Linked DNA regions of Drosophila melanogaster. The protein of the gene in region 1 interacts with the protein of each later gene in a biochemical or structural test. Each region holds a gene or a part of one and is shown in the gene's direction. Other genes may lie near its edges. The genes, in order: ETH and PK2-R2.

Evidence for each region.
Region 2: of the proteins of ETH (region 1) and PK2-R2, one has a biochemical effect on the other in vitro, tested with the Drosophila melanogaster proteins (one study listed by BioGRID).

Annotation. Positions count from the first base shown.
Region 1 is NT_033778.4:24,794,125-24,797,646, reverse strand, and holds ETH (ecdysis triggering hormone), read left to right. Parts: upstream 1-2,164; 5' UTR 2,165-2,188; coding exon 2,189-2,374; exon of another isoform or gene 2,375-2,432; coding exon 2,433-2,858; 3' UTR 2,859-2,977; downstream 2,978-3,522. Other genes in the region: Orc4 (origin recognition complex subunit 4), read left to right, coding at 355-546, 607-1,794.
Region 2 is NT_033777.3:13,328,450-13,336,088, reverse strand, and holds PK2-R2 (pyrokinin 2 receptor 2), read left to right. Parts: upstream 1-1,922; 5' UTR 1,923-2,199; intron 2,200-3,250; 5' UTR 3,251-3,345; exon of another isoform or gene 3,346-3,660; 5' UTR 3,661-3,837; coding exon 3,838-4,192; intron 4,193-4,439; coding exon 4,440-4,605; intron 4,606-4,684; coding exon 4,685-4,817; intron 4,818-5,135; coding exon 5,136-5,334; intron 5,335-5,402; coding exon 5,403-5,617; intron 5,618-5,772; coding exon 5,773-5,886; intron 5,887-6,133; coding exon 6,134-6,751; 3' UTR 6,752-7,019; downstream 7,020-7,639.

The DNA of each region.
Region 1 (3,522 bases):
ATATGTATAATTGATTGTTATTTATAGAGTTACTATTGTACATATTCCTCAATCGTAGGTCCATTTTGTATGAACTAAAATGTTGATATTTCAAAATGTGCTAAAGCCGCAGAAATTAGATCGTATTGGTTTGTGGCACGAATATATTTTTCAGGCGGCTTAAGGCAACACTGAGTAGTATCAGAGTTCCAAACCACCGTACATTAAATGAACCAATATCGGTTTTGTTCCATCCCCAATGCATTGTTGACGTTTTTTGGCGCGACTTAATTACTGGCAGAAATCCAAACTATCTGTGCGTCCATTTAACTAATAAATAAGGAGGAATAAAGGAGTTCCGATCCGAGAGCGAAAATGCCGGAGGCGGATAGGGAGCTGGTCAGCATCAGGCGCTTCCTGAAGGAGCGCCTCCAGCGAGACTACACCACCTTGAGGGGCTACGCAAAGGAGCGGTCCAATGTGCGCCTATTGCTGCAACGCACAGCTGAAATGGGGGAATCCAACTCCTTGCTGCTCCTTGGGCCGCGGGGATCCGGAAAGACAACGGTATGAGTGCAGGCCTTACCGGGAAACCAATCCAGTAATCTATGCTTTCAAATTCTTTAGCTCATCAACTCCGTGCTGGCCGATTTGCTGCCCAATAAATCGTTCGGGGAAAACACTCTCATCGTCCACCTGGACGGTAATCTGCACACGGACGACCGAGTGGCCCTGAAGTCCATCACTGTGCAGATGCAGCTGGAGAACGCTGCGGATGGGAAAGTGTTCGGATCGTTCGCCGAGAACCTCGCCTTCCTGCTGCAATGCCTCAAGGCGGGTGGCAAGCATTCCAAGAGCGTGATCTTTATTCTCGAGGAGTTCGACCTCTTCTGTGCTCACCACAACCAGACCCTGCTCTACAACCTCTTCGACGTCTCCCAGTCAGCCCAGGCGCCCATCTGTGTACTTGGCGTTACCTGTCGCCTCGACGTGATCGAGCTGCTGGAGAAGCGGGTCAAGTCGCGTTTCTCGCACCGGCAGGTCTTTCTCTTTCCCAGCTTGCGGCGCTTTGAGGATTACGTTGACCTGTGCAGGGATCTACTGTCCCTCCCGACCGGCAATTCACTGTTGCTGGCGGCGGAGAAAATCTATAACCTACAAAACATCCAGTCGGGGGCACTTTACTTCTCCCGCAACCATTTTGACCCCGGGGAGTACGGCTTTTCGCCCAGACTACGCGATGCCTGGAACAAGCAAATATGCAAAGTCCTGGCCACTCAGCAGGCAAGAAGCACCCTCCAAGCGCTCCATGACTTCGACATTAGCGAGGCCTATCTCAAGAACTTCCTATTCCGCCTGGTGGCACATCTCCGACCGCAATCTCCCCACATCACAGCCGAAAAAATGGCTGCAGTGGGATCACAGTTTGAGGGCGACGACAAGATAGAGCTGCTTTGCGGGCTCTCAGTCCTAGAGCTGTGCCTGATCATCGCCATCAAGCACCATTCGCAGATTTACGATCGCGATTCCTTCAACTTCGAGATCATTTACGCGCGCTTTTCCAAGTTTGCCAAAGTGTCCACCACAATGCAGGCCGTGGAGCGGTCCATTGTCCTGAAGGCCTTCGAGCATTTACGCATCGCAGAGCTGATCATGCCGCTCACCGGTGGAGCTGGAGGGGGCGTAGGTAAGGTGCAGAAAGAGTTTGAGATGCATAAGCTGGCGCTGACATACAGCCAGATTCACCACTGTATGCAGCGATACCAGGCCCTTCCCACAGAGGTTGCTCAGTGGGCGCAAAGCTCTCTGATTTAGCAGCAGATCAGAAATACTTTGTATATTTATTTATTTAAAAAAAATTGTACCGAATCATTTAGTTGGTAAAGCCCTGTTTTGGGAAAATAAACTAATTTTAATTTATAAAACGTATATAAGAGAAAAGACAAGCATTTACATACGCAAGTGGTATGTACTATAAAATTTAGTTCTTATACAAATGTAAGTAATGTAATGTGTATGTATGCACTTAATTATGGCCAGGCATTTAGGTCAGGTTAGTTCAGTTTTATCTGCTTTGCACTTTCCGATCGATAATGCTAATTCCTGGAGTCACCCGCATTTCTATTCCACGCAAGATGCGGGTGGATCTCGCTATATAAAGGCCACCAATTGTGGAGCAGGAGTCAGGTGAAGCTTCAGTCGCATCAGCATGAGAATCATAACAGTCCTGTCTGTTTCGCTCTTGGTGGGTCTTGTGGCCATAAGCCAGGCAGACGACAGTAGTCCAGGATTCTTCCTAAAGATCACCAAGAACGTACCGCGGCTGGGCAAGCGAGGCGAGAACTTTGCCATAAAGAACCTAAAGACCATTCCTCGCATAGGACGCAGTGAGCACGTAAGTTATACCCATGGGCTTTCTTAAAGGATATTTTTAAACCATGAACTGTTTTCAGAGCTCTGTTACTCCTCTGCTGGCGTGGCTATGGGATTTGGAAACGAGTCCAAGCAAGCGGCGCTTACCCGCAGGGGAATCCCCAGCGAAGGAGCAGGAACTTAACGTGGTGCAGCCCGTCAACTCGAATACGCTCCTTGAGCTGCTTGACAACAACGCTATTCCCAGCGAGCAGGTGAAGTTCGTCCACTGGAAGGATTTCGATCGTGCCCTCCAGGCAGATGCCGATCTGTACAGCAAGGTTATCCAGCTGGGACGCCGTCCGGACCAGCACCTCAAGCAGACTCTCAGCTTTGGCAGCTTCGTTCCCATCTTCGGCGACGAGCAGAATCCGGACTTTATGATGTACAAAAACAACGAGGATCAGGAACTTTACGGCGGGGGAAATCGCTACGATCGCCAATTCCTCAAGTACAACATCCTGTGAGATGTGGAGTATTCGATTTGAATACGGACAAAGGAATATGACATTATAGAAATACATGTAACTTACCAACACTGCTAGCTAGTGTGTTTCAAATATATCCGGAACCTTGAAAATGGTCCAAGAAAAAATTTAAATATCTTTTCAGTTGAATAATCCCAGAAAACAAATGCCTCTTTTGGTAAGTCCAAAAAACACCTCTAAAAACGATAGTAAACATAATAAATTTCGGCCATATGGAAATGACTCATCCTCTATCGCACGATGGTCTGAATATAACGTAAGTCTTCTCCAAGTCTTCATTAGAATGCTTTCCCATAAGTACGTAAATACAAAACCAAATGGAAAGAGAAAATCGAAATCCGGATTGCAGTTGCTTGGATCAGAGCCTTTCTTTATCGCATTCCCGGATGGAATCGAATGGAATCAGCACATTAACGGTGCTTCTTTGACCAGGTCCACTCCACTGCAATCCGCACCTCAATCTGGCGAGTCAACAACCCAGCTGTCTTCTTTTGGCGGGGATTTGGGGATGTGGGGTGGCTGACTCAACGCAGCGAGCTCGGGCTTATCAAATTTATGGGGTCCGTGATGTTAGGAAATTCCAGCGATCGCATTCTTCTGCTCCCTTTTACCGACTTCTACCTTTTAATTGAATTAAACGATC
Region 2 (7,639 bases), on another chromosome or scaffold:
GAGCGCGTGCGAAGGTTCAATAAATTGGTCCCGCTTAATAAAAAAAGCCGAAACTTGCAGAAATGTTTATACTCTGATTCATAATGCAAACAAAACTAAAGCTACTCTTTAATTAATAATATGTAAGCCAACAAAAAATACAGGCATATAAACAATTAAATGGTATAATCGAAATGAAAGAAAAAGAGAACTATAATAATTAAAAAAAAAAAAACCGTTGTTGTATTCTACTGACAGATAACTTTATATTTGCTGTGCCATCCTTTTTTCCTTTTTAGAAATGTAAAATCAGCCAATTCAAAGTGTTTTAAATGTCTGGGCTCATATCCACTATCTTGTCCTGGCAGACAAGTTTCATATTTTATTTATATAAGCCCCAACTCTTATATTATATTGCCTGTACTTAGGTGAAAGTTAGGGAAAGCAGTGCGCGGCAACGGGTTGGTCGAACTGCAAATGACTTTTGGCCTGCCCTCTCTGCGTGCAATAAAACTAAATGAATTGGAAACTTGCACAAAAATTCAACCAAACTGCTGACGAGGATGCCGCCGTCGCCTGATGACAGAGTCCTGGGCAAAAGGCAAAACTTCAAAATGCCAAACAAAACGCCCCGAATCTGATGTCATGCCCAATGTTCATAAAGAGCAAGGCAAACGAAAATCTCCCCCATTTTCCACTTTCTTGGCCATTTTTCTCGGCTTTCGTCAACAATTGGCAGCCAAAGTTTTGACTGGGAATGCCTTTGCAGCACGTGCTCTGTGTTTTCCCTTCCTTTGAATTCATGAGATACTCGATGTAGAAAATGTTGTAGGGTCCCTGACAAAGAAATGCCAACTCCGACCCTAGATTTTATATCCAACAACCACCAGTATTCATTGTTTGTTTAGGACTTTGTTTTGATTAAGTGCCAAAAAATTGTTTCGAATTATTTACATAAAAATTGAGAAATTGAATGCATGCAATGGATTTGATTTGTTTGCCTCGCGATTCGATTTTCCAAGCGTCTCATATACATTCGCTATATTTGTTTGCTCTTAATATATATCGCACCAACGCTGGGATAGGAAAATACACATTTTATGAGCCGCAAAGCTTTGATAGATTTTCCCGCACATAGCCATAAAAGTTAGGCCCCGGGGCACTAATAAAATCTCCCTTTGACTGATCATAAAACCACGGCATCATGTCCAATTTCGTGACTTGATGTCTGGGGCTCAACGGCGTACAAAGTGGTTGCACAAATTAATTTTAAGCAATTCGGATGTTTTCGCTACAGTAATAAAAGTTTTGCAGAGAAAATCGCACCATATAGTGGCAGTTACATCCAATTATGGTGCGCTGCAATGTAAATAAAATGCATTCATGCAGGAACATATGCATAGTATGCATATGCCAAGTTTTTAAATAGCAAAGTTATATTTGTATATAGTCTCAATTTTACAGAAATACCACGTTAAATCGTTTTCTCACTTAAGGGCACCGAGCGTTTCTAATCCGGAAAATTAGGTTCAGTATAATAAATTTCTGTTCTTATTCTTTGAGCGACCACTTCACCTTTTCCGAGCTGCCTTGACTTAAATTGATTGTGGTTGTCGGTTTAGTTGGGTTTTAAGTGGGCGACAAGGTCGGCATTGCATTGTCCTTTGGCTCTGTTAACATAATAATCAAACAATTTGCCGCCATGGGCAAATTAATACGCCACTAAATAAGATAAACTGCATGGCACTCCAGAATTATTTGCATTTTTATTACCCTTTTGCCGGGGGACCCTTCATATAAGGCCGAAAATCAGCAGCGCGCCGCCGCAGAGAACCGAAAAGCAACCGGTAGTTGTTCGCTGCCGACGTCGCTGTTGCGTCGCTGTTAACGGCAACGACCGTGGCCCGAACGGACTTCGTTGCCAAGATATTTTGGCCAAAAACCCAGTCAGTCGGATGCTGCGGCCCGTTGCTGTAGCCGCCGCCGTCGCTCTTTCGGTTCTTACGTTTTCGGATCATTTGACGACGAAATAAAACGAGATATCGGGAAAACCATCAATTTACGCGTGCCCCTCAGTCATAATTTTACGATTCGGAGAATCATTTTACGTACCAGAATTAATCAGTGCCATACGCAAATAGTTAAAGCCATTAATTCTGTGAGCGTGTATATCAAATTAAGCCCAACACGTTGCGGTCATTAATCAACATTTAGCACATGGTAAAAAACTGATTAGCTATATTGCAATAAAACACCTTAAAAACAAAACGAAATCACATCTCAGAGAAAGTGAGTGAAAGAATGGGGGGAGCACAGAGAGTGCAATGCTCGCAAATGCGAAGGCAGAGTGACAAAATCAAAACAGTTCAAAGCCATAAAAAATAAATGCATTCTGAAAAATGTGGCAGGCATCGTTTGATAAATTTAAATTAAACGTGTTTTAAATGCACAAACGATAGCCAGCCGAGTGTCGAGATATATAATTAATTGCCATTAGGCGGAATGAAAAGTTCCGAACAGGAGCACCGAAACAGTTGTAAACAAGTTGAAAATAAATAAGGCATTATCGGGGGCCTCAAGATCTACAGATTGCCAGTGAAATCCATTGACCCGAAACACTAATGGTGCAGAATCTATAATAACATATTATGCCTCAATGCGAACCGGCTTGCCAAGCGCAAAATATGGAAAATAATAGTAAACCAAATACAAAACTCACACTTTATGGACATGGGCGGGTGCATGGGCATAATTTTTTTCGGTGGGATGCCACACGGTCGATCATCGGAATCATCGGACAACGAAACGAAAACAGAAAAATGAATAAATGAAAACCAGTTTTATCGAATATACAATATAATAAAACCTAATTCGACAGCATTCTTTTGGTTGTGCATATATTGTAGAAACTTTTTTATGATAATGATAATGAAAACGTCCAAAAACGGTCAACAGCGGTCAGCAGCAACAATAACGAAAAGTATAGCCAGAATGTGAACAGAACAGAGCAGAACAGCAGCAGCCGAAAACACTCATCATCTGAATGGAATGAAACTATGTTAATGTTATTAAGTCACCCGGTGTCCATTTGCCATCGTCGTCTCCTTATCCGTCTTATCCACCACCTGACCTTGAGCTTCTGGCTCGTTTCATTCGTTTGCCACCTGGTGTTGGGTGGGAGACGGATCGGCAGGCCTGTCCTTCTCAGCCTTGTAGCAACATCCTTAAATTCATCCAGTGTACACAAATATTTTGACTAAATGCCACTTAGCAATTCAAATTAATTTTCAGCTTCCACTCGCCCTGATCCTGGTCTTTCGCCTAGGACACGCCTGACTGCCGCCTGCCAGTTTCCCAGGATGCCAGGTAAACACACAGGACACAAACACGCTTTAAGACGGGCTCTCTAAGGTGGACCTTAGCAAGCTAAACAAAGCGCACAGCTTACCAACCAAATTGTGTATATGTATAATTTATGGTAATTTAGAAATCTGGAGTAAAAAGCCTTAATGTTTGAATTTGTTTTATTACTAAATTCGTTAAAATGCGTTATTTGTCTTGTATTATTTTATTTAAATTTTAACAAATTTTGAAAAACATAGTTTTATTTAAATAGCACATAGGGTCCACCTTATCACACACATCCGTACACATAATTTAATCCCACACTCATGACAACAGATTGCAAGTGGAGTGGCTCTGGCCTAAGTCGAAATTGATGAGCCCCCGTAAGGGGCGTTATGAAAACATTATTTGCAAGCGAAAGCTTCGATTGAGAATACATACGCAGAAGTCTGAAATTTCCAAAGAAATTCGAAAATAATAGTGCGTATACACACACACAAAGACACACACCCTATGGCAGTCAAAATGCTGCCCACTAACAGTTCCGGTGTCCTGGCAACCGATCTACAACTGTTTCACAATGAGAAATTTCTCTTAAATCTGACACAAGTGCTGAACATCTCCGCGGACAACCTGACCAGCCTTCTCCAGGGCCTGGAGCCGGAGGAGCTTTTGCCCACGGTGACCCCGATGACACCACTTTCACTGCTGGCCACCCTAAGCGTGGGCTACGCCCTCATATTTATCGCCGGCGTTTTGGGCAACCTCATCACATGCATTGTCATTTCGCGGAACAACTTTATGCACACGGCCACCAACTTTTATCTGTTTAACCTCGCTATATCCGACATGATTTTGTTATGCTCAGGTGAGTGCAAAACTAAAATGTTCATGGTTTTTGAATTATAATTTAATTCAGTTCAGTAGTGCAAACAATAAATGGAACTGAGGCATATTAAATTAAAATTTGTAAATAAACAAGAAAATGTAGAGTGAGATATTCGGCAGATGCTCAAATCGATTTGCATTTTGAGGCTATAGGCTATAATTTCAGCTATTATTAAATATTTATAATCACACTATATATTTTGCTATTTTGCTATTTATGTTCTTAGGAATGCCGCAGGACCTCTATAACCTCTGGCACCCGGATAATTATCCTTTCAGTGACAGCATCTGCATATTGGAGAGCGTTCTCTCGGAAACGGCGGCCAATGCGACAGTTCTAACCATTACCGCGTTCACAGTCGAACGATATATTGCCATTTGTCATCCGTTCAGGTAAGGGAACCTTCATTCCTTCCACTGCCCATTTCCATTTTGCCCCAAACTTGCTTAATTGGTTCTGCTTTCGATACAGGCAGCACACGATGTCCAAGTTGTCACGGGCCGTAAAGTTCATATTTGCCATCTGGATAGCTGCCCTTTTGCTGGCCCTGCCCCAAGCCATTCAGTTCTCCGTGGTGATGCAGGGCATGGGAACATCGTGCACGGTGCGTATGATTGATGCGAGACCCTTAATCGTATGTCCCCCAGTTATGAGTTACCTGGTTAATTGATTCGTAGAACCGGTCCTTTGATCCTTTGATTCATTATGTGTTTTCCGTATAGAAAGTTCGAATAGAGAGCCTTTGTGAATTACAAAAAATTTAAGAGCATGATAAAAACAGCGACAATCCCTTACGAGGTTCGACTCAGTTTAGGCAATCAAATTTACAGCCATTGCCTTCCGGCTGTGGCTGTAAGCCAAAACCATATCGTATCGCATGCGAATACACATATATATTATTTTTGTGAAATGCCTGCTGTAGATGAAAAACGACTTTTTTGCCCATGTGTTTGCTGTGTCGGGCTTCCTGTTCTTTGGCGGACCCATGACGGCCATCTGCGTGCTCTATGTCCTCATCGGGGTGAAGTTGAAACGGAGCCGACTCCTGCAGGCGCTTCCCAGGCGATGTTACGATGTAAACCGGGGGATAAGCGCCCAAACGCGAGTCATCCGGATGCTGGGTAAGCAGGATATGAAATATCCGAAATAACTCATGGTTGCATCAGGCGCCCTTATCCAACTTTCCCAGTGGCGGTGGCCGTGGCCTTCTTCATCTGCTGGGCCCCCTTTCACGCCCAGCGGCTGATGGCGGTCTATGGATCCACCTCGGGCATTGAGTCCCAGTGGTTCAACGACGTGTTCAGCATCCTCGACTATACGTCCGGTGTTCTCTACTTCCTCTCAACTTGCATCAACCCGCTGCTCTACAACATCATGAGCCACAAGTTTCGTGAGGCTTTTAAGGTGAGTTTCGCTGCCGGATATTCATTTCTATAGCTTGCGTTAGGAAATTGAAAATAAGCTTCAGGTTACAAGTTTATTAATCGATTCTTTAACGGTCAATTTAGTGATTTTAAACTTCAAGCTAGAATTAAAAAACGTATTTAATCCCATTTTAGGTAACTTTGGCTAGACACTTTGGACTTGGTGGCAAAAATCAGGGAAGGGGGCTTCCTCATACTTACAGCGCTCTTCGACGTAATCAAACGGGTTCACTGCGGCTGCACACAACGGTGAGTGCACTGAGAAAAATTACATAATTATCATTCGATATATGCACTTAAATTCTATTATGTGGCATTATTTAAGAGGAAAATGAAAAGGATTAATATAGTGTATGTCCTGTTTCTCAAAATGAAATTTGAATCACGAGACTTTTTAAAACCACTATAAGATGTTTATTGCGTTACTTATTTTCGTGTCTGGCGACTGCACTTTCCCTTTCTGATTATCCCTCCATTCCTTGATTTCCTCCTGCAGGACAGCGTTCGCACCACAATGACTTCCATGGCGACGACCACCACTGGGCTAAATGGCTCTGCCAATGGCAGTGGCAATGGAACGACAACGGGTCAGTCGGTGCGCCTGAACCGCGTGTCCTTGGACAGTGTCCAGATGCAGGGTCAGAATCGCAGCCGGCAAGACCTCTTCGATAATCCGCGTCGCATGCTCCAGACGCAAATATCGCAGCTGTCATCGGTGGGCGATGCCCATTCCCTCTTGGAGGAGGATTTGCAGTTTCCCGGGGAGCCACTGCAGCGCCAGCCCACGATGTGCTCCATTGACGAGCTCACAGATGACTTGGCCATCTCGCGGTCACGCCTTAAACTTACGCGCATCACCCGCCCACCAGGAGGTGTGACGGGGGGCGTGGCAGGAGGCAGCACAACAGGGGCCGCGGGGTCGGGGGGCGTGAGCGGTGACGAGTCGAGTGGCAAAGTGCGCAAGGCGAAAGTGAAAGTGCTCAAGAGCTCAAGCCCGTTCAAGGGTCTCAGGACCAAATTCAATTGGCGTGCCAGACGCAAAGGCAGCCACAAACCGCACGAAAAGGGGGCGACGGTGAATGGAGGCGACACTGAAGAGCGGGCCGCCTTTTAAAGGGGGTCAGCATATCCTCTATCTGTACTCGATAAGCGAGGTAGTCCATTCCAGTGCCACCTACGTACATTACACACACACACAACTGTGATACGAGCAGCAAGCGCCACTCCAGCTTGTTTGTGTTTTAATTTAGACAAATATTCCGCGTTTGGGGTCAATTATATGGTTGTCCTTACCAATAACCGTAATATAGCCCAAAGCTATAGTTCGAATTATAGTTATAGTGCACGTAATCGAATAAACTATGTAGTTATGTACTCAGTTCAAAAATTCGACCGTTGTTTCATTTATAAAGTGGAGTTTAATAAAAAAAGAATGGACTTTTGATAAAAATAAAATGAATCTACATAGTTAAGCGTAAATAGTATTTGGAGTACAGTGATATATAAATACATATTAAGGTTGATACCCTAATGGTTTTATTATACAATTTAAATATAAAAGCGATCTCAGTTTTTTAAACAGCTGACCGACTTTGTTAGCAGTCCAATAGAAACTGTTATCTAATGTCAGTTTTTCAATATCCATTAATAACATTTCTCTTGCAGTAAATATTTTTTTCCCATTTAATGAATACATTTTTTTTTTTTGAAAGAGTGTGGATCAAGTGGGGATTATCAAGAAGAGGGTTCAATGGGCGTCTGGCTAATTACTGTCAGTAAAAAGCGGGCACTGCATCATAATCCCTGGCCATTAAGATGTTTATCTGGCGCACAAATTCGCTTTTTGGTCTGGAGTCTAGACAGTGGATGAAAGCCATTCTCGCGATTGGCCAACATTCGCTGAAAGCCGCTGTTGGTGACTAATTAGCAGCATGCCATAACGCAGTGTCCCAGTGCATTTTGTTTTAATTTCAGCAAATGCAATTTGTCAGGCAAACATAAC